Danio rerio: one gene and its partners. The protein of the gene in region 4 purifies or fractionates together with the protein of the main gene of each other region. This does not show direct contact. Links are inferred from orthologs where the notes say so. Each region holds a gene or a part of one and is shown on either strand. Other genes may lie near its edges. The genes, in order: nup50, polr2eb, tox4a, ppp1cc, adisspb, actb2 and ncoa5.

Evidence for each region.
Region 1: the proteins of ppp1cc (region 4) and nup50 purify together in Homo sapiens (affinity purification with mass spectrometry; 3 studies listed by BioGRID and IntAct, with this or other methods). This does not show direct contact. The link is inferred for Danio rerio from reciprocal best matches to the Homo sapiens genes PPP1CC and NUP50.
Region 2: the proteins of ppp1cc (region 4) and polr2eb purify together in Homo sapiens (affinity purification with mass spectrometry; 4 studies listed by BioGRID and IntAct, with this or other methods). This does not show direct contact. The link is inferred for Danio rerio from reciprocal best matches to the Homo sapiens genes PPP1CC and POLR2E.
Region 3: the proteins of ppp1cc (region 4) and tox4a purify together in Homo sapiens (affinity purification with mass spectrometry; 4 studies listed by BioGRID and IntAct, with this or other methods). This does not show direct contact. The link is inferred for Danio rerio from reciprocal best matches to the Homo sapiens genes PPP1CC and TOX4.
Region 5: the proteins of ppp1cc (region 4) and adisspb purify together in Homo sapiens (affinity purification with mass spectrometry; 5 studies listed by BioGRID and IntAct, counting the BioPlex papers as one, with this or other methods). This does not show direct contact. The link is inferred for Danio rerio from reciprocal best matches to the Homo sapiens genes PPP1CC and ADISSP.
Region 6: the proteins of ppp1cc (region 4) and actb2 purify together in Homo sapiens (affinity purification with mass spectrometry; 3 studies listed by BioGRID and IntAct, with this or other methods). This does not show direct contact. The link is inferred for Danio rerio from reciprocal best matches to the Homo sapiens genes PPP1CC and ACTB.
Region 7: the proteins of ppp1cc (region 4) and ncoa5 purify together in Homo sapiens (affinity purification with mass spectrometry; 3 studies listed by BioGRID and IntAct, with this or other methods). This does not show direct contact. The link is inferred for Danio rerio from reciprocal best matches to the Homo sapiens genes PPP1CC and NCOA5.

The regions. Positions count from the first base shown.
Region 1 is NC_133179.1:72,000,084-72,003,925, reverse strand, and holds part of nup50 (nuclear pore complex protein Nup50), read right to left. Parts: intron 2,208-3,842; coding exon 1,683-2,207; intron 1-1,682. UniProt on the Homo sapiens protein: Component of the nuclear pore complex that has a direct role in nuclear protein import. Actively displaces NLSs from importin-alpha, and facilitates disassembly of the importin-alpha:beta-cargo complex and importin recycling.
Region 2 is NC_133197.1:17,299,182-17,303,607, forward strand, and holds the start of polr2eb (DNA-directed RNA polymerases I, II, and III subunit RPABC1), read left to right. Parts: upstream 1-1,388; 5' UTR 1,389-1,479; coding exon 1,480-1,536; intron 1,537-1,697; coding exon 1,698-1,872; intron 1,873-2,248; coding exon 2,249-2,364; intron 2,365-2,457; coding exon 2,458-2,538; intron 2,539-3,694; coding exon 3,695-3,753; intron 3,754-3,899; coding exon 3,900-3,978; intron 3,979-4,059; coding exon 4,060-4,125; 3' UTR 4,126-4,130; intron 4,131-4,426. UniProt on the Homo sapiens protein: DNA-dependent RNA polymerase catalyzes the transcription of DNA into RNA using the four ribonucleoside triphosphates as substrates.
Region 3 is NC_133177.1:41,101,530-41,105,887, reverse strand, and holds the start of tox4a (TOX high mobility group box family member 4-B), read left to right. Parts: upstream 1-1,250; 5' UTR 1,251-1,831; coding exon 1,832-1,936; intron 1,937-2,215; coding exon 2,216-2,275; intron 2,276-3,552; coding exon 3,553-3,855; intron 3,856-4,358. UniProt on the Homo sapiens protein: Transcription factor that modulates cell fate reprogramming from the somatic state to the pluripotent and neuronal fate. In liver, controls the expression of hormone-regulated gluconeogenic genes such as G6PC1 and PCK1.
Region 4 is NC_133180.1:2,464,070-2,468,618, forward strand, and holds the start of ppp1cc (serine/threonine-protein phosphatase PP1-gamma catalytic subunit A), read left to right. Parts: upstream 1-1,718; 5' UTR 1,719-1,900; coding exon 1,901-1,955; intron 1,956-4,549. UniProt on the Homo sapiens protein: Protein phosphatase that associates with over 200 regulatory proteins to form highly specific holoenzymes which dephosphorylate hundreds of biological targets.
Region 5 is NC_133182.1:8,747,214-8,751,055, forward strand, and holds part of adisspb (si:ch211-74f19.2), read right to left. Parts: intron 401-3,842; coding exon 300-400; 3' UTR 1-299. UniProt on the Homo sapiens protein: Adipocyte-secreted protein (adipokine) that acts as a key regulator for white adipose tissue (WAT) thermogenesis and glucose homeostasis at least in part through activation of protein kinase A (PKA).
Region 6 is NC_133178.1:39,482,356-39,486,741, forward strand, and holds the start of actb2 (actin, cytoplasmic 2), read right to left. Parts: upstream 2,934-4,386; 5' UTR 2,921-2,933; intron 1,696-2,920; 5' UTR 1,606-1,695; intron 245-1,605; 5' UTR 238-244; coding exon 115-237; intron 25-114; coding exon 1-24. UniProt on the Homo sapiens protein: Actin is a highly conserved protein that polymerizes to produce filaments that form cross-linked networks in the cytoplasm of cells.
Region 7 is NC_133181.1:58,120,928-58,125,325, reverse strand, and holds the start of ncoa5 (nuclear receptor coactivator 5), read right to left. Parts: upstream 3,098-4,398; 5' UTR 2,987-3,097; coding exon of another isoform or gene 2,890-2,986; coding exon 2,774-2,889; intron 2,212-2,773; coding exon 2,099-2,211; intron 96-2,098; coding exon 1-95. UniProt on the Homo sapiens protein: Nuclear receptor coregulator that can have both coactivator and corepressor functions.

The DNA of each region.
Region 1 (3,842 bases), on a different chromosome or scaffold from region 4:
GCAGCAGCCTTACATTTAAAAGGGAAACATAAGGGTGATCATACGCAAAAAGACCCCAGACTATAAGGCTAGATGTTTTCTTTCCCTTATTTCTTTATTTGTTTGGCGCATGTACTCATGTGCGATCAGAAAACTGCCCGCCTCTCCTTTCACTCCGCCCCGAAGCCCCAGCTGGCCCTCCTTGGCCCAAGGTATTCGGAGGGCCGAAAAAGGCCGGCCGCTGGCCCCAAGAAAGCCCCGCTTTGGCCCGATTAGGCCCTGGAAGTGACAGTGGAAACCCCACTTGCCTTGGCTCGCTCGCTTTAGGCGCGATAGTGGAAACGCGGCTAATGACGTTTTTATAGATAGCAGAGTGTTTTTGTGACGCACAACTTAGAAATGTGTCTGTTAAAGCCGTTATAATCTGTCACGTGGTTCAAGCGCGTCAGAAATACGAGAAAAACATTCTCCTAGTTCACGTGTCTGCCGTCAGAAATATAGTGTGTGTGTGCGTTCCCGGCCTGTCAGCTGTTAGCTCAGCGGCTCTTCAATACACACACACAGAGAGAGAGAGAGAGAGAGAGAGCAAACCAGAGTACTGGCATGAAACCTAACAGGTATGAAAGTCGAGCAATTTACAAAAATGAGCAATAAAAGTCTGTTATTGATCCTCTGCTGCTGATTTGCTGTTCATTCTAATCGCGAGCCGTTTGTGTTTTATTTTGTGTGTTGTTTTCACCACGGTTTGTGTTTTTCTTTCATTTCGAAATGACACTAGCCTATATTTTCACTTTGTCACAGTTATTAAATCAGTGTGTCAGTGGCACAGTACAGGCTACGTGTGTGTGTCAAACATTTTGGTGAATTACATTAGTTTGGGCTGGTTATATATTTAAAATAAAGAGAAAACGTTGACTTTAGCGATGACGAGGCTTCATTTAAACTGCAGAAGATGCCGTCTGACAACCAGGGGAAAACGCCTCACAGCAGCTGTTTTCCATCCTATTAGATCGCATTTCTTTAAATGATCAGTCCCGGAGATGCTGCTGATGGACAACAGTATTAGTTCAAAGAGGATAAAAGCAGGTAACATAGATTAAAACTCGTTTCAAAGCTGTGCAAATGTGACTGTTTACACGCATCAGCTGCCGACCGGAAGTTCTTCGCATTCTCCTTGCGCAGCATACACGCAAAGCATAATGGGTAATTTTGCGTTCCAAGAAAAAGGGCTATACACACTTTATTTTAGCGGCTGAATGAGAGCATCATCCGGGTTTTCAATGTGAACGCACTACTTACACTATTTATACTACAAAATGGCGTAGAACAGTGCGCAAGTATGCGATTTGGGACGCAGCTAAAATCCTTCAATAACTAATCGAGCTAAAGTGATTAATTAATCAAGGTTTAATCATCCCTTAAATAACAGATTTTCTGAATTGTCTTCAGAACAAACCACTGTAAACCAACGACTTGGCTAATTACCCCAGTGAAGCCTTTAAATTGCACGAAGCTGAATACTAGTATCTTGTAATATTAAGTGCTGTCGTGATTATGACAACAAAATGAGTTATAAAAAACAATACATTTACAAGTGCGCTGGGAAATAATTAAAGAACTGAATTAGACAGGCGGCTTAACAATACTGACTTCAACTAGTCATACTGCGCAGCTCTAGCCATCAAAGCAAAGCAAGCGTGTACCTGCAGTCTGGCTGTTGCTGTCCGAGTTGACCACAGGACTACTGACGCTACTGACGGCTGAGCCAAACACAGCAGAAGAAGAAGACGAAGAGGAGAAGGAAAACGACGGCGCTCCACCTGACGACAGCGCCCCGAGCACCGAGCTGTCCACCTTCTTTCCGAAATTAAAGGAGACTCCCGGAGGAGCTGCTGGCTTTTCTGCTGGAGGCTTGTCGTCCTTGTTTTTGAGGGAGACGGTCTGCGGAGCCGCAGCACAGGATGCCAGCGGCTTCCCTGGTGTTTCGTCTGCCGCCCCGCTGCCGTATTTCCTCTCGATGCTGGCCAGGTGACGCTCGTAGTCCCGGAAGATGGGGTTGAGGTCGCACAGCGGGTTGTCGTTGACGTGTTTGGTGATCCAGTCGCGCACCGAGCAGTTCAGCGCTGTGAGCTGCCGGTTGTACTCTTTACTGCTGGGGGCGGAGCCGTTGGAGGTGACCTCACCGTCTGTGGGCTTGGAGGGGGTGGAGCTGCTGAATGTTAAAGGACCTGTGCATGAAGAGAGGGAGATACATAATTAGGGATGCAATGGCTCTTGGTAAAAAAAACGTATTGTCTCGTCGTCCTCTCACAATTCGGTGCGTCCTGTGATCTATAGTTCATAGGGATGTAACGGTATTGTAAATACCGTCATACCGCAATATTAATTTTTTCGATATTACCGAAGTCGCATGACTCGGTAAAACTATAGGTCTTCTGAGAAAATTTGCTCAGGCGAATGAAGCGAACGGGAGGTAGCGAAAACTACAATTCCCATCAGCCCATGCTTGACCATCATCCCTTGCGGTCTGTTGTCGCTACAGATCCAGTAATGCGGAAATGGAGTGTGCTGCTAGAATGCATGTACACTTTCTCATGCATTGCACATGCGAAGACCTCTCCAATCACCTCCAAGTATGTAAATCAGTTGCTGACATCACATTTCCTCATGTGTCTGTGTGTGTGTGGGGAGTTTCTGTGGGTTTCAGCATGGCGAGTGAAGGAGATACAGCGCAAATGCGCAGATGAGGCCAAATCACAGCGCACTGCAGTCACGCATACAACATACGATTTTTAAAACGCTCAACTTTTAATTAATGCAAGAACATGCGATACATTTGTGTGAAGCTGTTGCATTGTCAGGTGTTCGTTAACGGTCAACAACCGCCTGAATGTACTTTACCCCTTACTTCATGGATAATTAAGTGTAGTTTTCTGTACTAATACACAACAAATTACTGTGATGAGAAGGGCTGCTTCCTAAATATTAGAGTTGGGGTCGAGTCCACCTTTGTCGAGTCCAAGTCGAGACCAAGTCCTTAACCAGTCGAGTACAAGTCCGAGTCTGAGTCCAAAAGGGGTCGAGTCGGACTTAAGTCCGAGTCCTTAACATCCGAGTCCGGCCGAGTCCAGACAGTCTTAAAACTCATTTATTATTTTTTCTTTTGGCTTAGTCCCTTATTTATCAGGGGTTGCCACAGCGGAACGAACTGCCAACTAGTCCAGCATATGTTTTACGCAGTGGATGCCCTTCCACCATTCACCCATTCACTCTCATTCACACTCACACACCCCGGCCATTTTAGTAAATTAAATTCCCCTATAGCGCATGTGTTTGGACTGTGAGGGAAACCGAAGCACCCGGAGGAAACCCACACCAACACACGGAGAACATGCAAACTCCACACAGAAACACTCCTGACTCCAGTCCCTGTGCGGCAACAGTGCTAAGCATTGAGCCATGGTACCACGTATGTAAAATAACAATAATAATAAATCAAATATATTTTTCTATTAACAATTAAACTGTTAAATGAAGAATTTAAACTTTTTGTACATTTTTACAAAATGACTTGTATTTTTTGTTAGCTTGCTTCAAATTAAAATAAAAATAGGAGGATATATGTCGAATTTTTATTATTTTACAAGACTCACACGATTGACATTATTCTAATGCCACTTTTTCACATTTCTTGTTTAAAATACGCTTGCATTACCAAGGCAAAAATGCATTTTTATTAACATTAAACATCAAATAACAGAGAACTGTTATCAGCCCCAGTGTGGAAAATGAAACCATACTCATGCCAACTGACCCAGATCAGCACAGAACATAAAAGGTTCAGCAAAGGGAGACCATTCGGC
Region 2 (4,426 bases), on a different chromosome or scaffold from region 4:
GTTAGCAATGTTATGTGAAGTTGTGAAGTTATATGAAGAGGGTGACTGACGTCACTTGTACGCCAGCTTGTGGTGAAGACAGGAGAGACACGTTTTGGCTGTCTTCTAATTTAATCCATCCTGCCAATTCTGCATAAAATTAATGTCCCAAATTGTTTTGCTGCATTAGCTAACTGACACTGGACTGTTCCATCGCGCCGCGGCCGCATTGGACTCGTGCAGGCAAGGGGAGTGGCTCGTTACATTCACTCCGTGAGGATTTCTCCCAATTTGGATGGACGCATGTCATCACTCAATCGTCAAGGATTTTCGTAGGAAACACATACACTGATTCACAGTCATTGAACTACGTTTTACATTACATTCAGGACTTTGAAGTTTCATATATATAAATATATGTTGAAATTGGGACGTTTAGACAACTGAAACTGTATTTTCCTACTTCTGTATAGTTTTATTTTTTTTTCAAAAAGGGCTGAATTGCTGTCAACATATTGTATTTTATTTATTTAATTTTGTTTGTTTTGAATACATGAGTATGTTTTTATAAGGGCTGAAAAGCAGTTCAGATACAGACCAGAAAATTTGCAATACAGCAAACTCAAAAGTATTTTCTTGTGTTTGGGTTTTTTTATTTTTTTTTATTTGAGCAGTTGGAGATTATAGTATTAATAATATGTAAAATTTGACCACACCATTCAATAATATATTGTGTCGTTAAGTTGAGATATCCCGAACCCGAGATTTCAAGTAAATTGTGTTGAAATTTCATATATACTTTAGAAAGCTCAGACCCAGTAGATAATTTTCCCCTTTTCAGTAAATCAATTTCATAGGTGGGTTACAATAAGACAAAATTAATGATCGTTATCCTTTTGTAAACCCTTTTTCAAAACAATTTATTAATTGTTCTAATCGATTTTGTTAACTTTTGAACACAAGCAGACATAACGTTACAATAAATGTAATTGACGTAAATCTACTCAATCAAAATCCTCTGGAATAATTGCTAATGTATTTTTTTAACCCTGTAACATTTCCTAAAACGCTGGGGACGACGCTCTATGGTCAAAATGAATCACTGAATCGCCTTGACACCGGATATTTGAACTGTTCGATTGAATCTATATTCAAACGATTCAAACCCTACGCACTTCTCAAATGCTATACAACTCTCTTTCCTTCCTTGTTCGTTTACATAAAACAAAATCAGTATTTAAAGAAAGCAATAGCTGTGATATTGCTTAGAAGTTGTGATACTTCTAAGCAACGCGCACTGTTTTTTGTACGAAATAAAGCTGCGCATTGTTTTTTTTTTTTTTTTTTTTTTTAAAGCTGCGCATTGTATCTACGCTGTGGCGTAACGTCTGACGTCATTTACTCGCGCCAGCAACGGGAAACAAACGTGGAGAAGAAGCATCACATTAGCGGATTGTTTTGATCGTCAAAATTTGGTATTAATCATATTTATAGCGCAGTATGGATGACGAGGAAGAGACATACAGACTATGGAAAATTAGAAAAACTATAATGCAGGTAAAGAAAGACATATATGCTTTATTTATAACGTTTCGCACAGTTTAGTGATGCTTGTTCCGGTTTACTATTGAATGGATTTCATGTCTTTTATAAAACCATACACATTTAAATAACAGAAATAACATGATGTAATAACAATGTTGATATTTAACCAACAGCTTTGTCACGATCGCGGATATTTGGTGACGCAGGATGAATTGGACCAGACTCTTGATGAATTCAGGAGTCAGTTTGGAGATAAACCGAGCGAGGGTCGACCACGACGAAATGACCTGACAGTCCTGGTGGCCCACAATGACGACCCGACCGACCAGATGTTTGTGTTCTTCCCGGGTATGTTTTATTCCGCAGCAGCCCTATTTATTTAACTAGTCCGAGATAACAAGGAGTGGTTATTAGGTGAAGTTGGTTTTATATTCGGACAATCTCCTTAATAATATAATTTCAGAAAAGTATTCTATGCTAATTCTAAACAGGGAAATCATATTAGCAGCCAGCTACTATCAAATACATCACTGTTAATTAAATAGTCAAATAGGGCTAATGTTGTTTTAAAGTCATACTTCCATGCGATTGCAGACTGAATATTCAAAGCATCATGGTAAAAATGGACAAACGTGAAACCAGCTTTACCTCAGTGGAGTGGTTGATCAATTTTGTATTTACGTTAAAGAGTTTAAATATATTGAAACTTCAATTTTGCTTTCAGAGGAACCAAAGGTTGGCATCAAAACCATAAAGATGTATTGCCAGCGCATGCAGGAGGAAAACATCACCCGCGCCATCATTGTAGTACAGATGGGCATGACACCCTCCGCCAAACAGGTGCAACTCGCACATTTACTAATGTTTACAGTTCTAATGTCGAGCACTTTACAAGATAAATACGTTTTTTTATCTCTCTCTGTCACATTTCAGTCTCTGGTCGACATGGCACCAAAGTACATACTGGAGCAGTTTCTTCAGCAGGAGCTTCTAATCAACATTACAGAACACGAGGTGAGGAGACTTAAAGTTATAGCTCACCCAAAAAGTGAAAATTCTGTCATCATGTACTCACCCTTGTTCCAAAACTGTTTGAGTTTATTTCTTCTGTTGACAACAATGTTGGAAAGCAGCAGCCATTGACCTGCTGTAGTATTTTTGTTCCCGTTAAGGAAGTCAATGGCTGCACGGTTTTTAATTCACTGGTGGAAAAAAGCACCTTAATGTTGTATCACTTACTGTTAGTCCAAAATCACATTCGGAGAACTATTATATTTTTAGCTGATGAACAATAAAAAAATCCACAGCCAATCAGAATCTCCTAACTTAAAAAGCCAGTTTACACAGAAATAACTCTTCTGACATCATTTAATCTCCGTCCACTAGTTTCTAGCGTTGAAGTTTCTTTCTTCTTTTGAACACAATGGGCTATATGCACACAGACTTTTAATATGGTTTCCGGTGCCTTATATATATATATATATATATATATATATATATATATATATATATATATATATATATATATATATATATATATATATATATATATATATACACACACACACACATACATGATATAAAGTGCTATAAAGCGGTGTGTTAAATTATTTTACCTCAGTATTTTGAATGGAGTTTCTGCGCTAGCCTGCTGCCATTGACAGCGCTAGCAGTTACACAGTCTATTATCTCATTTTATGCTTGAACTACTAAATGAATGCTTAAGTTTATTTAAGGGATTGTATTTCAATTACATTACGATGTTGTAAAAGCAACCTTATAAATAGTCACAAAAACCTTTTACTGTTGGTTTAAAAACACTAGCTGTTCATATTGCCCATTGAAGAATGATCCATTGAATTCCACTGTATAATTTGGTTCTTTGTGAAGAAAATCTTGTTTCTCTTGATCAGAGATGCCCAAACTCAGTCTTAGATGGTTTAGATCCAACTTGCTTCTGCACTCATGCCTGGAAGTTTCTAGTAGAGCTAGTAAGAGCTCGATTAGCTGGTTCAGGGGTTGGAGCCAAACTCTGCAGTGCCGAGTTTGGGCACCTTTTTTTTTCTTGATAATTAATATATTCATCATTTTTGTTTTGAGCACTTTTTTAAGATGCTTAACACTTTTATCTAATTATCCTTTGCAATAACTATGGTTTCATGTATTTCAGCTTGTTCCAGAGCACATAGTTATGACAAAAGAAGAAGTGACTGAGTTGCTGGCGCGGTAGTATCCTTTCATGAAAGATGCTTAAGTTTACAGCAGTGTTATTTTCATATTTCTATGGTTTAGCTCAACTTTGTGTATTATATATGTTTAACTCCAGTTGGATAGTTCACAGTACATGTAGGTCACCTTAACCAGCGCTTCTCCAGTAAGCTAAAGGAAAGCCAACTTCCCAGAATTCAAGCTGGGGATCCCGTTGCACGTTACTTTGGCTTAAAAAGAGGCCAGGTAGGAAATCAGCCCAATTTTTAGCTCATTTTGATTGACCGCAATCAGCTGATAGTTTGTGAATTTGTGTGTGTTTTTCAGGTTGTTAAGATCATCAGACCGAGTGAAACGGCTGGCCGATACATCACATACAGATTGGTCCAGTAATGTTGGTGAGCTCTTGTCTTTTATTAACCTTTAAATAAAGCGCTTCACTTTTTCCACATCTTTCTATGTTACAGCCTTATTCCAAAATGGGTTAAATTCATTTTTTCCATCCTCTACACACAGCACCCCACAATGACAGTGTGAAAAAAGATTTTATTGAAAATAAAAAGTACACAAGTATTCACAGCCTTTGCTGTAAAGCTCTAAATTGAGCTCTGGTACATTGTTTCCACTGATCATTCTTAAGATGTTTCAGCAGCTTAATTGGAGTTCACCTGTTGTAAATGCAGTTGATTGGACA
Region 3 (4,358 bases), on a different chromosome or scaffold from region 4:
CATAATTGGATAAGATCACTTTGATCCAAAAAATCTGGATTAAACTGATCCCATCAGAAAGGTGGATTTCATGCCCAAAATGTAATGTAAAATGTATCAAATAATACTATATTTGGATTATGCAGTATGTAACAAGGTATCCTATTTATTCATAAGGTTTTAATTGTATTTGTTCATCCGTCATGCTACAGTCATTAGGTAGGCTTTAACGTATTCAGTCTTACAGTATAGGCCTACAGCAAAGTAGAAAGAGTTTGGCCTCATAAAAAAATCCCCCAAACAGCTGTCAAAACTGACCAAAAACAATACATTTTATTCTGTCAATATGATCATATTGTATATTCATCACAATGGAAAATATTTTTGTTTTAGAATATTTATTAGTGATGCATGCAATGATTACAGAATAATAAAAAAAATGCAAAGAATGACAATCACTGATATTTAAATCACTTTCAACAATAGCAAAAAGAGACTGAAAGGGCAGAAGCACAGCTTCATCTGGCAGACTAACAACTGACTCTGACCAAACTGCAGCAAACCAAGACTAGACCTGAGATCCGCCCATAAAAGAAATGACAATGCCTGTACTTTGTGTGTATAGTATGCTGCTAAGTCTTACTTTTTGTATGTTTAATAATAGAAAAATTACGATGCCTGTTTTTTATTTATATTGTTTGCAAATATAGACATCAGTTAACATCTTAATGAAATTAAAAATATCCAGATAACACAAACAAAAATGTAAATTTATGAAATAGACAAAATTAAATAGACATAATTAAAACAAAACAAGATATTATGTTGTAATGGCTTGGGGAGATTGAGAAACTACATGAATTTATTCGTTTCAAATTCAACAACGCATAAGGCCATAATTGCTGTTGTTTAAAACGTTTTTTTTTACAATTAAATAACTAACCAACCTCTTAAAGATGGTTGACAACACTGACTGTGACTGGTCCTGCTTGAAGTTCGCTGAGAAAAGTAACGCCAGCCTTGTGAGTTGTGATGATCACAGTAGTAAAGTAAAAAAGTGATGGTGGCCGTGACCATTGAATGAATTACATAAAGTGTGGGGAGTTAAAAGAGAAAAAAATGCTCCACATTACAGGAACCGCGCGGGTCGTGTTAAATACTGCCAGGAGAAGGTTTTCAGGATTTGGACACAAATGAACTTATGACCGGAATGCGATTAATAAGACTTGCAAGTTGCAAACAGACAAACATAGCAGAGTACCGATCGAATCGGTCCATTTTAGCACTGGCAGAAGCTATCCATGCTAGTGAGACTCTCTAGGCAAACTTTGTTTGTTCAATCTGAATATATATTAAAAGTGTACAGTTTATAGTGTTATTTAATGGAATGTTGGATTTTACATTCAGCGAACAGGCGAATTCTCTGCCCTCGAGGCCTGTGTTATGAATGAAACCTCATGTTGGGGTTTAACAGCAGCGCTTCTGCGAACTAGCACGAATTAGCCAGTTAACGTTAGCTCAATTTGTTAGTGGCTAAATTGGTAAGCCTTCACCTACCACTCATCATAAACGCTTTTAACGGCTCTGGTTGTATTAACGCTGCTCTGTGGATCGTCTAATGAAGTTTATTGACGTTATTCAGTCGAGCAGCACAAACCTTATGCCGAACAATACAAGATGCTGTGTTGCTTGGCTCTTTTCTTTTGCTGACTAGCATTATTTCCCATTCATTATTTGTATTTTTGGTTGCTTTAGTCTGTTGCTTTTGGAATATTAGCAGCCCACTCGTTCCTCATATCAAGAAACCCAACAGACATTATTTATATATTTATCTAGTATTTATAGTATCCTCATGGATCTGAATTTTTACACGGAACTCTCTGACGGGACCGGTCAACATGTTGATTCCGAGTTTATGGACAACTCGTCCTACAATGGATATGATTCAGTAAACAAGGTAAGTCTGGCTGCTTTGTGTGTATATATATATATATATATATATATATATATATATATATATATATATATATATATATACATACATATATATATATATATATATATATATATATATATATATATATATATATATATATATATACATATACATATATATATATATATATATATATATATATATATATATATATATATATATATATATTCAGTTCAACGTAACTATATAATAAAACGCGTTTGCATGTGGTTATTGCACCTTTTAACATCCGTTTATTAGTTTGCAGGTGGCAGTGATTCATACCTGACCACCAGTGGACCTGGTCATCATTTTCTTGAGGTAGTGCTTCTTTTTGGACTGTTTTCTGAGCTAGCTTAAATTGACTAAATGTATTATTTTAAGCTTTACAGCGTCAAAGCATGCAATATAATGTTATATATCTTAATTTGTTTCCATTAGTGACTAAAGTGTCTCTGGATTTATTTAAATTTTGTGATCAAAAGATGACTATAAATCTTTTTACCTTGTTTTATAAAATACACCATATAAAACGTTAGCACATCAATAGTTTGTGTTAAAATAAATGCTTGTCAGGAATATTTATAACAAGACTTATATTTATAACTTGGTAAAATATTAAAAGTCTAATAATGATCACACAGCAGCCCCAACATGCATTTATAATTACTGTCTCTCCTTTAAACTTTTTAGTTTTTTACCCAAAATAAAAAAAAGTTTGCAATGTTAAAAAATGATTATCTCTCATCATTTTATATATATTTTTAATTGGCACAAATTTGAAAAAGTATGTTGTTTAATTTTTATGAAATCAATGTGATGATTTTGAGACATTATTTCACTCATATTCTCAGATTTAATTTTCAGAAAGATCTTCCTAATATTAAAGTAGACATTTAAGTGTAATATGTTTTGATATCTTTAATAAATTAAGTTTGATGCAGGCACTAGAATGGGACATCTTGTGTATTTTTTTATATACATGTTTTTATATTTTATTTCTGAAAATTTTTATGCAACTTTCTACCTTGCCATAAAAAAATTAGGTTTTCACCAACATAGCGAAACTCTTTCTAGGTTTTGTTTGTCTAGGCTTGTATTCAACAGGACTGCAAAAATACTCAAAGATGTCTCTGTCAATATTTTCAAACAATTATATTTGATTTACCAAAGTCACACAAGTGGCAAGAGATGTCACATCCATAACAAAGATTTTTCCTTATAAATGTGAAAATATAAAATAAAATCAGTCATTTTTGTTCTATAGAGAGCAAACATGTATTCTTTTGATCATCATTATTTCTTTTAGATTGTCCAATTTAATTCACAGAACTTGTACAAAGTACGTTGCATACTGTAAACTTTTTTGGTCACATCCATCACGTATGTTTATTTTCCTCATATAAAATAAACAAATGTTTACAGATTGATATTTTTCTGATCCCATAACTCTGTGGTGAGTTGTTTTGGAAAATATAAACAGATGTTTTAACAAAGTTAATATATAATTTCTCTGTGAATTTATGTTCTGAGATTTTACTGCAAATGTCGCATCCATAGCGCTGGAATTGCTCTTATGTCTTTATTTTTCATTTCAGAAAACATTCTATACACCCTGTCTGGGTGATGAAGAGTTCGAAATCCCAATCTCCTTGGATCCAGACTCTGCTCTCACCATAGAGGATGTGGAGGCACATTTTGGAGAGCTGGCCGAACAGGCTGAGAGCTCAAGGGGTGCTGGAGTTGGAAGTGTTCTTGCCAGTAATACTGTAGTTGGGGGAAATGATCCATCTTTTGCCTCCACCTTCATGAATCCCTCATCTCAGGGTATGGAGCACCTGACTTTGGGTGTGATGAACCAGCAGGGCGGAAGTGCACTGCTGAGCTCAACTCTGGGTGTGGTAAGCTTTTCTCTTTCTAGCAGTGGCAGCAGTGTCTGCATCGTGTTTGCTAAAGGAAATCCAGCACTTGTTTCTAATGGATTATAAAATGCTAGATAGGGCTGCATGATATTGAAAAGATCTGACATTGTGATATTTTTTTCCTGCGATATTTATTGCGATTTGAATACATTTTAACCAGATGGCTTGAATAGCTCTATTTGGAAAGAAATCCATTTATTAGATTGATAAGGGTTGTTGTCAGATAAATAAATACAAATACAATTAAAGTATTTTTTTTCTTTCTATTTTTAAATATTATTAGTTACCATGCCAACTTTAATGTAATACAGTTTGGTATATTTAGCTTCGGCCCAGCACCCTTAATCAAGTTTGGTTTTTGGCCCTTCGTAAGAAAGTTAGGGCACCCCTGGTTTACAGGGAATTTAGGCACAAATCTTGTAACATGCCCTATGACCCAATCCTACTTGTTCAGTAGTCGTTTTTAAGTGCATGCATGAATG
Region 4 (4,549 bases):
ACTCCAAGTGTTTTACAAGAGAGAAGTTAAAGACATACAAATCTTTGGATGCCAACAGTTTTGCTCTGAGCAAGAAATAATACTCCATGATAACCAGATTCAACACTGTAGAGCTGAAAACTGAGGTTCTGCCCAGCCAAAGACAAGGAAAGAAGACGGAGCTGTACAAGGCCTGGATAATCATCAACAAGCAGAACTACTGCATTCTCACAGCAAACTACACCTGTACAGCAGGTTATGTGAACACACATTTCATTCTAGGCATTCAGTGTCCGCAGTTTAATTAACCATATTGAACTGTTTTTGCTGCAATCAAAAACCAGTAACGTGTCTGATTCAGCATAGCGTGAACTCACCTGATATAACATGAGAACTGCAGAGTCCAGCATTTCTAATTAGGTCCTCACTCCATTCAGCTCCCTTATAGCTAAATATGTCTGCAGTTGGCATTAAAGCAGTGTGGTGTACGGTAAATGTTAAGCTGCATTTGAAAAGTTGGATTTGGCACCCTACCGCACAACTATTACTATTGACACCAGGAACCCCTGTGACGTAGGTTGATAATTTCTCTAAATATAGGCTTAAGTTTTTTAATTTAAAACAACTTTGAACAGATTCCTTATTTTATGATGGATAATAATAAATTAGCATTTGAAAAAATAAGTATTTTTTCGAATTTCTTAGTTCAAAATGTTTAATTTAAATTCTAATCTCATTACATTATTTGTAAAAAGTAATAGTGTAAATTTTAAATGCACAGTTGTAAATAAACACAATTTTTTGTTAATAGTATGGTAAGCACTTTGACAAAAATATAGGAAAATATTTGTTGCGTCAAAAAGTATTGTAATGATAACCATCCGACAAGCTAATCCAAAAATTTGTGCTTAAAATGTCAATGTATTTGATAAAAATGAGCCGAATAGCTGCAAAAAGTTCCACTTTTTGAGAACCCTTTTAATAGGCTGGCTACGGGCCTGCATTGCAATGCTGTAGTATTTTTAATACCTAAATTAGCATGAATTAAATGCATACTGAGTAAATACCTTACCACAAATGACAAAATATGTAATGGTATTGACAGTTGACAAAGGATGAGGTTAGTTAACATGAAAAGTAATGTCAAATACTATAAAACTAGTTTTTTTTTAATGCCAAAATCAGCATTAATTAATTTCTAATGCAAAAATACTACAAATTAAATAATATTTTTTTTACTATAATGAATGACAATTGACAAAAAAATGTGGTTAGTTAATATAAAAGGTCATGTCAAATACTGTAAAACTAGATTTTATGCCAAAATTAATAATTTTTTATTAGGTTATTATAATAAATAACAGTTGACAAGGCATCTGGTTAATTAACATAAACAGAACTGTCAAATAATGTAATACTAGTACATGTGTATACCCGAATCAGCATAAATTAAATGCATAATGCAATTTTTTCAAATGAAATAATATTTGTATTAGGTCTACTGTAATAACAGCATGCCAAAAGACGTTGTTGGTTAAAATAAATAATTATGTTAATGTGTAGGATATGTTTTAAACATGTGTTTTTAAAAGTTTTTCATTGCAATTAACATTCAACGTCACACGTTATTGTGAAAGTCAGCGGCACGCCCTCCTCTTTCCTCCGCACTACTTTTCTTCCTTTCCTTTGTGTTCATCCGCCCTCCCGTTTCCATCAGCGGTGAAACCGAGCCGAATTGCGTGTCCTTCCGCAGAGCCGGTGCGCCACCGCCGCAGCACGCGCGTCTAACGGGCCCGCTCGAGCATTTTAATCTTTTCTTTTAGAGTTTTGTGATTAACCAGTTTGTTTTTAATCGAAGTCGTTTTATCTGTCGTGTCTGGTGTGTTTTAAGCGGTGGTGTTTGTGTTTTTATCGGCTAGTCATGGCTGACATCGACAAACTCAACATAGACAGCATCATTCAGCGCCTGCTCGAGGGTGAGTTTCAAGCCAAGTGACAGCTAAAATGTACTTTTAATAACATAAGTAACTATATAATTGCCATAAGGGTTGTGTGTGTATATGTATATGCTTGATCTATCAACTCTGTCGTTTTTATGGATGTTACGTTAGCTGAGCTAGCGAGAGTTAGCTGCGCATTAGCTCTGCTCACTGACACAAACGGCTGTGTGTCAAATACAGAGTTTTCTACATAGACACTATACTGATATATTTGAAGATTATATATTATTGGTTGGTTTCGAATGGACAGTACTTTTGACTATAAAATACACTCTGTGTGGGCAGTTCACTGGTGTTTGTGACACTGCCAAGCTGTACGCGCGGTTTCGGTGCTTCAGTAAACACATTACGTTAGTACACTGACTAATGCTGATATTATGATATTGAATACATATTTGAGCATCAAAACAGCTGTTTATTAGTGTACCACAGTCATTAAAATTAACAACAGGGCTTGAAATGTCAAAAGTGTGATTTCTAGCGCTAGGAAAAACAATATTTTTGAGTTCAACCCAAATTTATACAATTTGAGGGTGTCATCTCTATAAAATGTTTATTAAAAATCCTTGCTTTAATTAGACATCTTAAAACCTTATTTAATGACTAACAATATGAAACTGTTGAAAATGAGAACTTTAAAACATGATAAACTCTTAATTCTGATTGAATATGAACACTGTATTTGCTTATATTATGACTTTAAACATGTATTATTATTACATGTAAATATATTTTTTAGGGGGGGAAGGACATCACATCCTGTACAACTGCAGGTTATACAGTGTTCATACAGTCATGGAAAACCTGGAAAAGTCATGGAATTTTTACATGGCATTTTCCAGGCCTGGAAAAGTTTTGGAAAAACAGAAAAACCTACACAGTTTTAGAAAAGTCATGACAAATACTTGAATATAGGCTTTTCTCTTATTTTCTGTCCTTGGCCAATCACATACTCTCATATTATTAGTGCGGTGTAAGCATTATCTAAATTAATTTTGCATGGATATAAATTGAAAGTAAATGGATTGTTGCATGTTTTATGCTATGCTCTAATAAATTTGAACATGCATTGCTTTTCTTTTACCACGCATATGTAGACATTGCATGAAACATTAGGTCATGAACATTTACATGAAAGTCTTGGCAAAATCATGAAATTTTAGTAGTAAAAATGTGTATGAGCCCAACTATGTTTACAACATTTTAGCTTTTTTTTGAATTGACTGTAATGAAATGTGCACCTTTTGTAAAGCTGCTTTGAAATGAATTATTGTGAAAAGCACTATACAAATAGATTTATATTTTATTATACAATGAATTGTATCTTTGCAAAATATAATTGCTTTCTGGAATGCATTATAAAAGCAGCAGGTGCAATAAAGGCAGAATGATTATGCAAGATTTTATAGTTTTATTGTATACAGTGAAGAAATGCATTTACATAACATTTCTCGCTTGTTTAATTTTTATATGCAACACAGTTCATATTGGCAGATATTATTATTTAGACTAACATTAAATGTATTATTAAGGTATGTATCCTTCATAAGCGGGTCTGACTTCAGATTTAGCACTGCAGCAGCTTTGACCCATTTTTACTTGTACTTTCTGCAGTAGTGATTTCAGCATCATACACATACTGATATGCATGTGCTTTTACTTTGTCCTCTTACACTGTAAAAAATATATTAGTGAACAGTTTCTCTATTTTGTGTGTTTTGGGTTTATTTGCGGTGGCAAATTGCATTATGCTATGTTGATCTCTCCTCTGTTGTATTTTTAACATCAAAAGTGCACAAAGTGACTTATTCACATTTTAGTCATTTGAAATAATAATATCATGTATAAAAATAATATCTAAAGAAATAAGTCTGTTAAAGAATAGAAAATGTTTGTTACAATGTTTTTGTAGCGTAATATACAACACCAACCAGACAGTATATCACTTTAAGCTATTAAAAAAGTAAATAAGTCACTTTTTTTAACTTTACAAGGTTAAAAGTTGTTGGAGGAAAGTAATAATCCAATTCAAAAGCGTAAATAAATGGGGGAAAGTAAAAACATGAATCACAAAATACATAAAACTGCTTATTTAAAGATTTTTTATTGCTTAGGTTTATTTTTATGCAGTGTGAAATAATGGCTGCGCTAAAATTTTGACATTGTCATGGAGAGATGCTATAAATTATATTTGGGTAATAATAATGCATAATGTTTAATTATGATGCACCTTTCTAAGCTCAAAGCGCCACAACATTTACAAACATAAGGTTGCAACCAAAGCCTAAATTACAAACTTTCATAATCAAATCTCTGTATTAATTCACATCGCAATAATGAATAAAAAACAATTAAGCAAATTTATTTTTTAAAATGTCAGTGATATCACAAATGGGCAAATATGGCTCTAAATTTAAAATTATTTATTTTAAAATAAATATATTACCAGTATATTAGGAACACCCTACTCCTTGCATATTTTCTAAGATTCCTCTGTTAAATATTTTATTAGACTGTCCTGCTTTTAATGTTTGTAGAAGACTTTTAATGAAGTTTTAAATAATTATTCA
Region 5 (3,842 bases), on a different chromosome or scaffold from region 4:
GCTCTCCAGGAACAGGGTTGGCCACCCCTGCAGTACAGGCTATTTGATTGTTTTGTTTCCAAACCTGAAATACAAAAAAAAAAAGAAATCACAGAGAGCTACAGTAAACAGATCATTCCTGCATTCTATTGTAACAGTAAGTAAAACCAAGAAAGCACAGTGCCCTTTCCAAACACTGAGCAGAAAGCAGAGACATTGCTGAGCAGCCGGCGACAGACTTCCAGAATCTAGAATATTCCGTCACTGCCAAAACCGGATATGTGGCACGGATTGAGAAGTTTGAAGTGAGTTTCGGGCGATCAGTCGAAGCCTTGCCAGTCGCTTTGCTCCGAGTCGTACTCCAGCTCTGCTCCAATGCACCGCACACCTTCCAGCAGCATCGGAGTCCCGTGATGACGGTCTGATAAAGAGAGGGGGGGAGGTGTTTGTAGACATGTTATTATGAAATAGTCTTTTCTGCTGCGCTCCAATCCACTTTTAATAATGCACTCGCAAACTTCCTTGTTCTCCTGGTGGAATCCCCAGCAGCATTTCAAAGTGCGGGAGAGTTACGTGTGGAGAAGCCCCAAAAAAGAATACCACCCAGACTGCCGCATTTCCACTGTCGGGCCAGTGCGAGCCAGGGATTTTACCGGGCCGAGCCAATCGCCCGGGAGGTTGAGTAGTGAGGCGGAAATCATGTCGCGCTTCCACTGTCTGGCTTGTAGCTTGCAGTGTGTCACGCAAACGTTACTGTACAGCATTACATTATATGTCTATATGAACGGGCCTGTGTGTTCTTATTTATTATATTTGTACACTCACCGACCGACTGTTGGCATCGAAATAGAGTGGTCTCGCCACTAACGGAGGGACCCAGCGAAATGAGCGCACCCAACCATAATTAAAAACCACAGAAATTCTCCGTTAATAACTCGGTATGAAGTGTATTTTATAACATCCTCGTTTTGATAGACGCCGTCAAACATTTAGCCCAAATGCTCTGGAGACACCTGAAACATTCATTTTTCCCTATAGGCTATTTGACACTTAATAGGTGATTCCCCTTCATTTAGGCAAGGCAAGTTTATTTATATAGCACATTTCATACACAGTGGCAATTCAAAGTGGTTTACATAAACAAGAATAAAAGAGACAAGTGTAAGAAAATGAAAACATTAATTTTCAACTAATAATAATAAAAATGAAATAAAAATAAAATAAAAATAAAATAAAATAAATAGATAAAACAGATACAAATGTGTTAAAATATGTTATAAGATAATGAAAAAGAAAAGAAAGACATAATAGTGCGATCTGTCGGACGCAGCAAAGTGCTCATTCAGTAAAGGCACAGCTAAACAGATGTGTTTTCAGTCTTGAAGTGAATGTGCCTAATGTTGGAGCACATCTGATCATTTCTGGAAGCTGATTCCAGCAGCGAGGAGCATAGTGGCTGAAAGCCGATTCACCCTGCTTTGACTGAACTCTTAGTGAACTGAGTGAACTTCTAGTTTTTATGATCCTAAAGATCTGAGTGATCTGTTAGGTTTGTATTCAGTGAGCATATCTGTGATGTATTGAGCTCCTAGGCCATTTAGTGATTTATAGAGCAGTGATAATACTTTAAACTCTATTCTGAATGTAACTGGGAGCCAGTGATTTAAGGATGTTGCATATTATTCTGTGATCTTAAGTTAAGTGTGGTTTCAGCACATAAGAGCAAGTATAGCCGATATTTTGTTGCGCTCAGCAGCTTTTCACTAATAAAGCTCTTCATTTAAAATCCAATTTTTAAATTTCACCTTGTCATATAAAAACATAAACACTTGATTGAGGATTTTGTATTTGCAGTTTTCCCCGATGCGTTTGTAAAGCGGCGCTGCGCAGGACAGAAAAGAAGGTCGTTTCTTCTATCACGCACCCAAAAAAATGCTGTTTGCACGATTTGATAAATATAGGCGTATCCAAATACTTAATAAATATATTTTAAACCTTCTCTGGTGTTTATTGTTTTTAGAAAATATCTCAAATCTTTTTTTTCAGATTTGCCTTTGTAAAGTGAAACTTATATATGGCTTAAAACAGTTTGGTTTATGTATTGTATATACCTACATTGTTATAGCTAGCTGTTGCTTGTTTTATATTGGTTTATTCATTTAATGTGATTTTAATATATCCGATATTTGTAATTCTTTAAATTATTTCAATATAGCTTAGGCTATTTATTAAGATATGACACTATTGTTTTGAGCTTAAAAAAAATGGGCATGTAATTTGTAAAGTTTTATGTTTTTCTGTGGTATTCAGATTGTGTATTATCTCCAAATTAAATAAAAAAAAAAAGAAACCCAGCCGGTCTCTCAAACACATACAGTCATCTAAACGCGCACAAACACACCTTTTAAACTTGACAAAAACTCTTGACAACCTTTACTGTCTGCTGTGTCTTTAATATGGTGTAAAGGTTATTAAGCCTTATTGAAACATCAAGGAGGACGCAGCAACAAAAAAAAAGCTTTATTATTTTATGAAGCCTTAAATTTAAGAGGGAAACATAAGGGCGATCATAAGCAAAATAAAAACGTAGCCTATAAGGTGTTTTATGGAATAGCTCATCTTATACTGACCAGCTATATGTTTTCTTCAACTTATTTATTTATTTGTTTGCCGCATGTACTTGGGTGCGATCGCAAAACTAGTGTAATGACGGCATGCCATCTTTAACAGACTTGGGCAAAGTCCGCCACTCCTTTCACTCCACCCCGAAGCCCCAGCTGGCCCTCTTTAGCCCAAGGTATTGGGTGGGCCGAAAAAGGCCGGCCGCTGGCCCAGAGGAAGCCTCCACTTTGGCCCGATCAGGCCCCGGAAGTGACAGTGGAAACGTGACTGGCCTTGGCTCGCTTGCTTTAGGCGCGATAGTGAAAACGCGGCTGGTGATGGTTTGGGCTGCAATATGGCCGTCCCTAGACCCAATACTTGTGCTAGATGGGCACTGCCAAAGACTATCAAACCATTCTGGAGGACCACGTGGATCCAGTGGTTCAAACATTGTATCCTGAAGGTGGTGCCATGTATCAGGATAATGTACAAATACAGACAGCAGGACTGGTGATAGTCTTTTAATAAACTTGAACATCTCCCATGGCCTGACCCAAGTATCATTGAGCCACTTTGCGGTGTTTTGGAGGAGCAAGTCTGGAAACTTTTCATCCTGAACACTATTCTGCCATAAAAATGGCTCAAAATCCCTCTGGCCTCCGTGCAGGACTTGTATCTGTCATTCTCAAGATGAACTGATTCTGAATTGGCTGCAAAAGCAGGCCCAACAACATACTAACGGATTAGTGTAGTCTAAAACCAGGCTTTCAGTTTCATTGTCCAACCTCTGTAGGTGCTGGAGTGGACATATGAAACCCACTCGCTCCCACTCTCAAAATCGAGGGTGTGCCCATTTAAGCTTCCCTTGATGAAGGGGAACGCACTTTTAAATGTCATTGGGGGTTCCCCGAGGGAACAAGGGAAGGGAAGTTCACGAGTGTGTGTCTAAATGTGAACAGGAACGCAGTCTTGCGCTTTTCATTTAAACCCATTCAGATGCTCCGCCAGTAGTGGACACTTGTGTGAAGTAATCAATGATGTACATCCGCCAAGACAGAGGGATATTAGCGAGCAAAGTGCATAAACAATTGCACTGGAACGCAGCCTATGAGAAACAGCTTAGTAAACAATCCAGTGCGGGTCTCAAAGTTTGGTGGATGAGTTTTGCGATTGGTGGATCTCATGATTGACAGGTTGGCCCCACCCTCCTGACAGTACCAATCAGAGAAATCAACACTATGCCACATATATTGTAGATTGAA
Region 6 (4,386 bases), on a different chromosome or scaffold from region 4:
CTGTCCCATACCAACCATGACACCCTGTAATGCAAGGACACAAGCGTTACATTTTGTGAACTACTTGAGAAAGTTCTCAGTTTGGGTCAGAATCAAACTAATCGGTCTTCTCACCTGATGTCTGGGGCGACCCACGATGGATGGGAAGACAGCACGGGGAGCATCATCTCCAGCGAATCCGGCTTTGCACATACCGGATCCGTTGTCAACAACCAGTGCGGCAATTTCATCATCCATGGCTGAACTGTAAAAGAAAGGGAAACTGTTAGAATTGCACTGCTGCCAGGGAGAGGCGTTTCAGCAAGCATGTGACCATCTGGAGTCAACTTCCTGTTTTGCTCTGCATTCTACAGTCTGACCGCTGGTGGGCGCTAGTGACAGCGCGCGCCTCAGATATGCCAGACAAAGGAAGTCCCTCTGCATTCTCTCATTATTACCATAAAAGGCAATGGTTTGAGCCGCTTTGCGGCTGCCGGCGGTGTGGCACTCAGCCAGAGTCGTAGGGCTCAGTAAAAAGGAACAGATTTCGACATTCATCACACCAGGACCACTCCCTAAATTTTACACAAATGAAGTTTCACATCCTCTTCCACCCTCGCCTGCGATCAATTACACAACCGCATTTCAACGGGTGTCTGCCGCCGGGTGTTACTGCGTCACAGATCTGCAGTCAGTCCACGGACTCCTCGTGAGCGGAGACTTCACACTAAAGCATTTCTGGACGGTCACTCTCAGTCGGTTCAGTTCATAGTCTAGCCTCAAAAATCACCGAGATCCTGAAAAACTGATGGGCTCTGCTTCGACAGTCACAGCGGCTGAAGTGCAGCCAGAGAACTCCGCAGCCGTTATTAAAGTGGACCACACCTCTAAAATTCAAATCTTTCATAGCGGATACAACACTTCACTAACGTTAACGTTAATCTTCAGCTTCATTAAAGACAGAGGGGGCTGCAGGCTACATTTAAATAGAACACATAACAAAAAGAAAATTAACCAAGTTAAAACTAAATGCCAATACCCGTTACTAATAACAAGATCTTCGATCTTATAAAGCACGAATGAGCCGATGTTAGATTGATGGGGTTTACGTTACATCAGATGAGAGCTGGTTAGCCGGCTAGCTAAAGTAGGTCACACCCTGCTGCAGCACTGCCTGCACAAAGAACTTCCCATGCCGGCTATCCATCAAGTGTGCAACATGCTCACCAGCACCCTCAAAACTGTAGTTAAAAATCACATTTATGGCTGTTAAAGAGAGATTAGCCAGAACACAACTTTATATTAAGACTTAACACCCATTTCACACCGGCCTATTCAATGTTCAATGTCGTGCCTACGACTGGTCACGTTAAATTACCGACATTCTCACCTGCCACATCCACTAACGCTACAAAAAAGTTAAGATACAGCCAATATTTATTAAATGTAACATAGATTATCAAAAGAACCACCACTTATAAATCAAACCTAGTAGATAACTACAAAGAGACCGTTATGAACTGTCTAAAGACTTCATCAAATCATATTTATCCATTTACACATTTTACTTAACATTAATAGATAGAAACTATAATTAAACGCTTAAAAACTGTAAAACCAACTCACCTTGGGTTTGGGGGGTTGTCGACTTAAGAGAATGGGTTACAAGCAGATGATATTCCGCACTAGCTGCGTGTGGAGGAGCTCAAAGTGAGGCTGAAAAGCTGGGCGCGCTCTTTTATATGACGGCACATACCCGGCTCTAGCCATAAAAGGTAAACTTTCGGAGCTCTGTGCTCTGATTGGTCCAGCGTCACACACCCGGCTGTCGCGTGCACATTGCTACACTTGCTTCTTGCAACTTGAGAGTGAAAGAAGGGGAAGCTTAACTGGTTAAAGAACAAGGCCATGGCGATTTCCTATAAAACTGGAATTTTTATTTGCAAATTTTAACACAGAATTTTTCGTATTTTTCTGCGACAACGCCAAGACTCAATTAAACTTTTCAAAAAGTCTGTGCAGAGTTACAAGTGGCAGAATGCGTCATAATGATGGATGCCTCCATGATCCTGTGTTGTGTTTTCAATCTAACACAACAGCAGCTCTGTAGGTCATTTACCTCTTGTGTTCACGAAATACCGTAATACAAACAATGGGGGATCTAATGAGTACTTTTCCATGTATAAAATGGACATTTTTTTTATCCAAATTAGGATGACACTACTTGTAGTATGTTGTATGAGCAACTAGCTGGTCTTAGCTCAGTAGTAATGCACTTTAAGAAAGTGCTTTAATAACTTTGAATGAATGGGACCTGCATTCCATGCCACATTGCTTCACTATTTTTGTGTGTACAAGTTACACAATGATGTATAAAGTGAGTGATAGCAGTTACATTTTTGCAAGTGGGCCTACCTCAGGTTTAATGTTCATTAGAAATGTTATATGTCAAGTCTTGATCTTAAATAGTTAAATTTTCTGTTCATAATTTCATGTCGTGTCTATGCAGACATAACATTTCTTTTTAAAGAGGTTTATAAGGATAAATCCTAAGAACATAATTCTCATTAAAAGTAGAAAAAAAAAACACTGAAAGTGTTGGTGATCAGCTACAATAAATAATATTTTGCACACATTTCAGATATTGCCACACTGAATAACAGATAAAGCTGTGCTTGAGCAGCAGTGATCATGATAAACTACATGTGACTTTTTACTGTGTAACTTGGGAGTAATGCACATGGCCTTCAGTGGGAGTTATAAACAAAAACAGCTGATTGTGTTAAAAGTGCTTGCTGATACCAAGGACAATGAGGTGATGTGACTTTTATTTTGTTTTTGGCAAATTCCAAGTATTTTGACAAGACTTTTTACAATTCTGAGCATTTTACCTCTAAAATATGGAAGTTTCTCAGAGTAAACGTTGAGTATAGGTAATGACTAGGCCCACACAGAATCTGTGCGCACAGAAATCTGCAGATTTCCCCAGATCTTTAGCCCATCATTGAGTTTATTTATTGACTTGTGTATTTGGATTTGCTCTTTAGTGTTTGGACTCTCAGCAGTAAAAATTAACTCACACTGAACTAAACTGAACTGAACTTAAACTCTTAAAAAATGGACTGACACAGTTTCAATTTACTATACTAATCCTCTAAGTTAAGCTGCTTTGACACAATCTACATTGTAAAAGCACTCTAGAAATAAAGACAAAGGTGTAAATATATGTTTATTCAGTTTTTAAATACATTTCCGTAATATTATTGACTAATATGAAAGTGTTCATTTGATTACAATATGGTCTGAAAGTAATGTTTTCTGTCTTTTAGAAGATATATTATGTGAGAGACTTGCTTTGTCGACCAAATAATTGGATCTAGGTGGACTTGCATTGTATATATTTATTAAAAGTTAAAAAGGTATTATTTTTTTTTATTTCATATAGTAAGTTTTTAGTTACGATACTCCCGAAAAAATCTCGCATAAATCACAGATTGTTTACAAAATTCTCTGCAGAAAAAGCAAAAAATGTCAGCAGATTCTGTCTGGCCCTAGCTATGACCCAACAGAGCAAACAGAATAAATACAACGAAATTTAATATACAGCATCAGATATAAAAGTGAATGTTTTATAGCTGTTTGTGTATAGAAAAAATGAGAAAAAACAGACATAAACAGCATCATAGTATGAATGTCTAAAAACTTGTTATCTGCAAACTGGATACTCATCAATAAGGTCTCCTCCTTCCATCCCCCAACATCTTTTCAAAGAATGCCAAGCATCCATCCACACCCCCCTTTATAAACACACAGGTTTTTATAAGATAAGCAAATATTTAGCACCAATCTGTGGTTAATGTGATGTAACACACAACAAACAATGCATTCAGCATATCCAGTCAATTCTATTTTTTAACCAACCATGCTTCTCTTTGTAACTTTTGTAGATTGCACAGGGGATCTTGTTACAGCAGATGTGCTTTTGTGAGTCCATAGTTCCCCCGAGGACCACCACCCTTCCCTGATAGCAGCCCACTACAGCCTTCCCATTCATCTCTAAATAAGGTACTGTCCTAATGAACCTCAGCTTTGCCCCATGACATAAGATTTCCAGAGCAATAAAGTGTTGTTGACTGTCAGTGTGATAATGTCATTGTCCTTTAGAATGCCAAAGTCTCTTATCTCAATTCTGATACCAAAGCTCTCCCAGTACACCATTCATGCATAATGATAAGAAACATATTTATGAAGTTGTTCTCAAAGGAACACTTTTTGGGCGTGTCATGCTGCATTTCATAGTTTGTTGTTTGGCACCCACATAAATAAAACAAGTGTGTTTTTGATAATAATAATAATAAGGGATGCACCGATACCAGTATCAGGTTTTGGGTCGATACTTGGTTAAAA
Region 7 (4,398 bases), on a different chromosome or scaffold from region 4:
CACTGGTCTCTCAATGTCATATCGCTTCTGCAGCTCTTCATAATATTGGCGGTAGAGTTCGTTTCTGCGCCGCTCTTCAGGACGTATGCGCTCTTCTGTCAATGCAGAAACAAACACTTAGCAAGCATTGAATTGAATTATATCGTATCACAGGGGTTTTCAAACTCGGTCCTGTCCTGCAAAGTTTAGTTCCACCCCAATCAGACACACCTGGGCTAGCTAATTAAGCTCTGAAGCTGCGGTCACACTGGACTTTTCTCCCCCATAGACATCCATTCGTATGCACGCGAATGCGTCAGACATGCGAAATTGCATCACGTGACTGTGCGAGACGAATCGAAAATTCAAACATGACCTCTCTGCACAGAAACGTAAAATATGGACCAATCGCTTGCTTTTATAACTGTCTAATCATCTTGTTTAATCCCACCCCTTATCGCTGCTCTGTACGACAGAATTTCGCAAGCTCAAACTCTAATGTGACCGCGGATTTACTTGGCTTTCAAGAAACATCTGTGCAGGTGTGTTGAGGCAAATTGGAGCTAACATCTGCAGGACACCAGCCATCCAGGACCAAGTTTGAGAAGCCCTGTCCAGGGCTCTAAATTAACCTTTTTACTTGGTAGCACTGGTGCTCCCATCTTTAAATATTTAAAAGCCTCAGAAAAAATGTAGGAGCACCCACCAAAAATGAATGAGCACCATTGCAAATTGTATATTAAGGGATTTATTGTATTTGAAAACAACATCAATTAGGACTAACAAAAAGCAGAAACAACTATCTAACTAATGCTGTGATGACTTAATATTTGTGCAATAATTCCAAAATGAATGTCTAATAATTATAAAATATTAATGATAACGATGATGTCAATGATGCTAACAATGCTTTACATTTCTCATTATGATGCAGCCTTGAATGTGCTTGAGTGCGAGTTATTTGCTATAAAAGTCCCACTGTTAATTTATGAAAAACACATGTATGGTTTGCATCAAACACAAAAGAAGCATTTGAGTAAGAAATATTTATTTTGCACTATTGTTTTCATATGCGTGTCAATTTAATAAATACTATTTCTGCTACAAAACAAACGAAAGATTATAATAAATCATTCCATTCAATGCTAAAAGCTGCAAAGCAGTCAACAGTAACTAAATAGAAAAACAATATACATCTCACGAAAGAACAGACAAAAGAAAGTAAGAAAAGTCTCTCTTTTAAAAGTTTGGGTTTGTGTCATTTTAATGTTCAGTTTCGTTATGAGCTGATTTTCATTTTTCTGTGTTTGTGGAAAGCAGGTGAGTCAGCCGATGCAATATATGAGGGGGCAGAGCAGGATTTTCCCGATGACCACTGGTGCAATACCGCTCTTTGTTATAAGCCGCATCAGTTTAAACTTAGTAAAGCTGAGCTTCTTTGGTGATGGTGTGTAAAGTGTTAGATTTTACATTTATCGTACATTTGTGCTGAACACGTAGTGAATGCAACGCATCGAGATTCAGTGTACTTTTCACTCTTCAGTCGTTTGAATTACCCGCGGTCACAAAAGCTCCCAGTCATCTGACAGCGGAAAGTCTTGAGTGATTGACAGCTAATATGAACCAATATAGCGGCAGAGAAGAGCGATTCAGCACGTTTTTAGAAAAAAAAAATCTAAACAGGTCGCACTACACCCATTATATGCAGTCGCACAAATGCTCGCAAATATATTATGAGGTTGCATAGATTAAATGTCGGGCGCGTATGCGACCAAAATGGTCGCAACTTCGAGCCCTGCTGTCATATCATATTGGTCATCCATTAATAGTCATTTTCACTTCATGCAAACACTCAATTTCTAAAAGAAAAAATTGTTTAAAACCAATCATTTCTATGAATATCTTAATATCTAACCTTACCCATTTTGTCATTTGTCAGTTATTTGAACAGAAAAATTAGAGTAGCACTTGCAGCACCATATTTTCATTACAACTTATGCAGCAAACGAAAATCACTACTTGGTGTAAACATTTGTCACAAAAATGTCAATTTACTTCATGCAACAAACCAATTTTATTTTAAGAATAAAAAATATTAGTAAAAGTGTTATTAACCCACCCTCTGGCTCTCTTCTGCCGTTCCAGGGGTCTCTGTATCGATCCGAGTATGCCTCGTCTTTCTTCCGATAATAATCGTAATCTCCACGATAATAACGATCATAACCTTCCTCTCTGTAAAAACACTGTACATTTAGACAGGAAAACTACTTAAATTTAGGAACAAAATTACCAAATCAATCTTAAAGGGGTCATGAACTACTTTTTTTGCACTCTTGTCTACTGAGATCCACTCAATGACTTTTAATAAAAACTTCACTATTTAGTTTTTAAAAAAGCGATTGGCTTTTTTCTGTCCTGTTTTTGACCCTTTCATCAGAAAGCATTGTTTGTTTTCTGATAATGGATGTACACTTTTTGGATAAAGCCCACTGCTCTGATGGCTAACATTTTTGAATATTAGCAGGGCTAAACAGGCAGTGAATCAGAAGTCAACCTTCTACAGAGGCAAAGCTTATCCACCCTATTACATCATAAAGGAGAACATTCCAGAACCTGTGGTTTCTTTAGACTGCCTTTTAATGCAAGCTGCTTTTAAACAAGCCACAAGTTTTCAGTTTTGAGTTCTGAAATGTTTTTGGATGTTTTAATAGTATGATAACCTCTTATATGTCAAAAGATCAAGGGTATTTTGGTTTCTCAGTTCATGACTCCTTTATATGTCCTGTTTGTGCACCTTAAGGAAGGCTCTTTCTCCCTGCTCTCAGACCCCCTGTATCGTTCTTCAGCTGGGGGTCTATCCTCATGTTCACGTGTAGAAGAGGGACGCGATTCACGGCTGCTGGCCCTCATCTCTCGACTTTCACGGTGGTAGCGAGAATCTCGTGCGTGCACCGGGGACCGAGAGCGAGGACGGGGCTCGCGACTCTCCCCATAAGAGCTGGATGGCCTGAACAGAATAAATACACTCAATCAACACATGACAACTAAACACGTTTCCCCAAAACTAATCTCTATTAAGACTACTAAAATTTACTTTGAAGTGCTTCAAAATGATTACAAGATTAAAATCAAATGGTAAAATTACACAATGAACATTTTGTTTTGTTGTACCGTACAAGCATGAGTGATGCCCGTCGCAAAATTCACGTCATTTATTTTATAAAACGAACCGTCGCACATTCTAAATATAACCCTTTCCTAAATTAAACTACATGTCGAACCTCATCTGTTTGTGATAATCATTAATATTTAGTTTCCACGAGTCATAAACAGTTTTTATTTACATTTTTTGCTAAATAAAATGCATTTGAACAAAGTCAAACAGCACATTTTTGTTGCTTCCACTCCGATCCACGTCAGCAAAATGATTTGCTAAAATAATAGTTTTAAAGCAGAGGTGATGAACAGACAAAGGTGGTGACTGGAAGATACACACCAACCTGACAACCTCCAAAATCTTACTTAGAAATCCAGCCATTAAGTGAACGACTGAAATTGTTTAAATTACTGTTCAGTTCTTTACATCCCATTCAAGTAAATGAAATTGTTTTTTTTTTATGTTTTAGGAAGTGATAATTGGAGTGTCGAGAACCCGTAACTGTTTGAAAACCGTGCATAGTAAGTGAACAGAATGAATAACACACCGTTTAGACAAGAACACACCAAGGGAAATGCACTCAAATTACCCTTTCAACTTTATTTCAATTAATTCTGATACAACTAAAAGGAAAATTGGAAGAAAAAAAAAAAAAAAAAACTGAACAAACTAAAAAGCGAAAAGCCACGAGAAATGTAAACTGAACCAATTTTGCGCACCCGACAATGATATTGCGATATTGGTGAATTCCGGTGTGGAGGGGAAAACGGTTACCAAAATTCTCGATAGATGTCGTCTTCAGTAGCAAAAAGATCCCAGCGATACATTACCTGCGTGGAGGACTTGATCTGGATTTATTCTGTCGTCTCTCAGCTGCCATATTTACATCTGAAAATAAACCAATCCAAACGTTCAACATGACAGATGACGGAAATATTTCAGAGCCAAACGAGTGTTTGATTAACAAAAGAGAAACACTTTGTTCTGCATCATTTGTTTGTTTAAATTATAAGCATTTCAACAGTAGCTTAAAAGTAAATACTACAGTTTGTGAAGTAAACATTGTACTTATTTATTGTTTTATTGCCATATCATTATGGCAAAAACACAAATATTACATTAACACAAACAAACAGTAAATTACAATAATTGAAATTATTTAAGGTTCTTTAATATGTATAAAATATTCTAAATAGATTTTTACCCGAGTACCCGATAACTTTCTAAAATGTAGTAAGAAAGGAGTGCAGGATCTTGTTAAT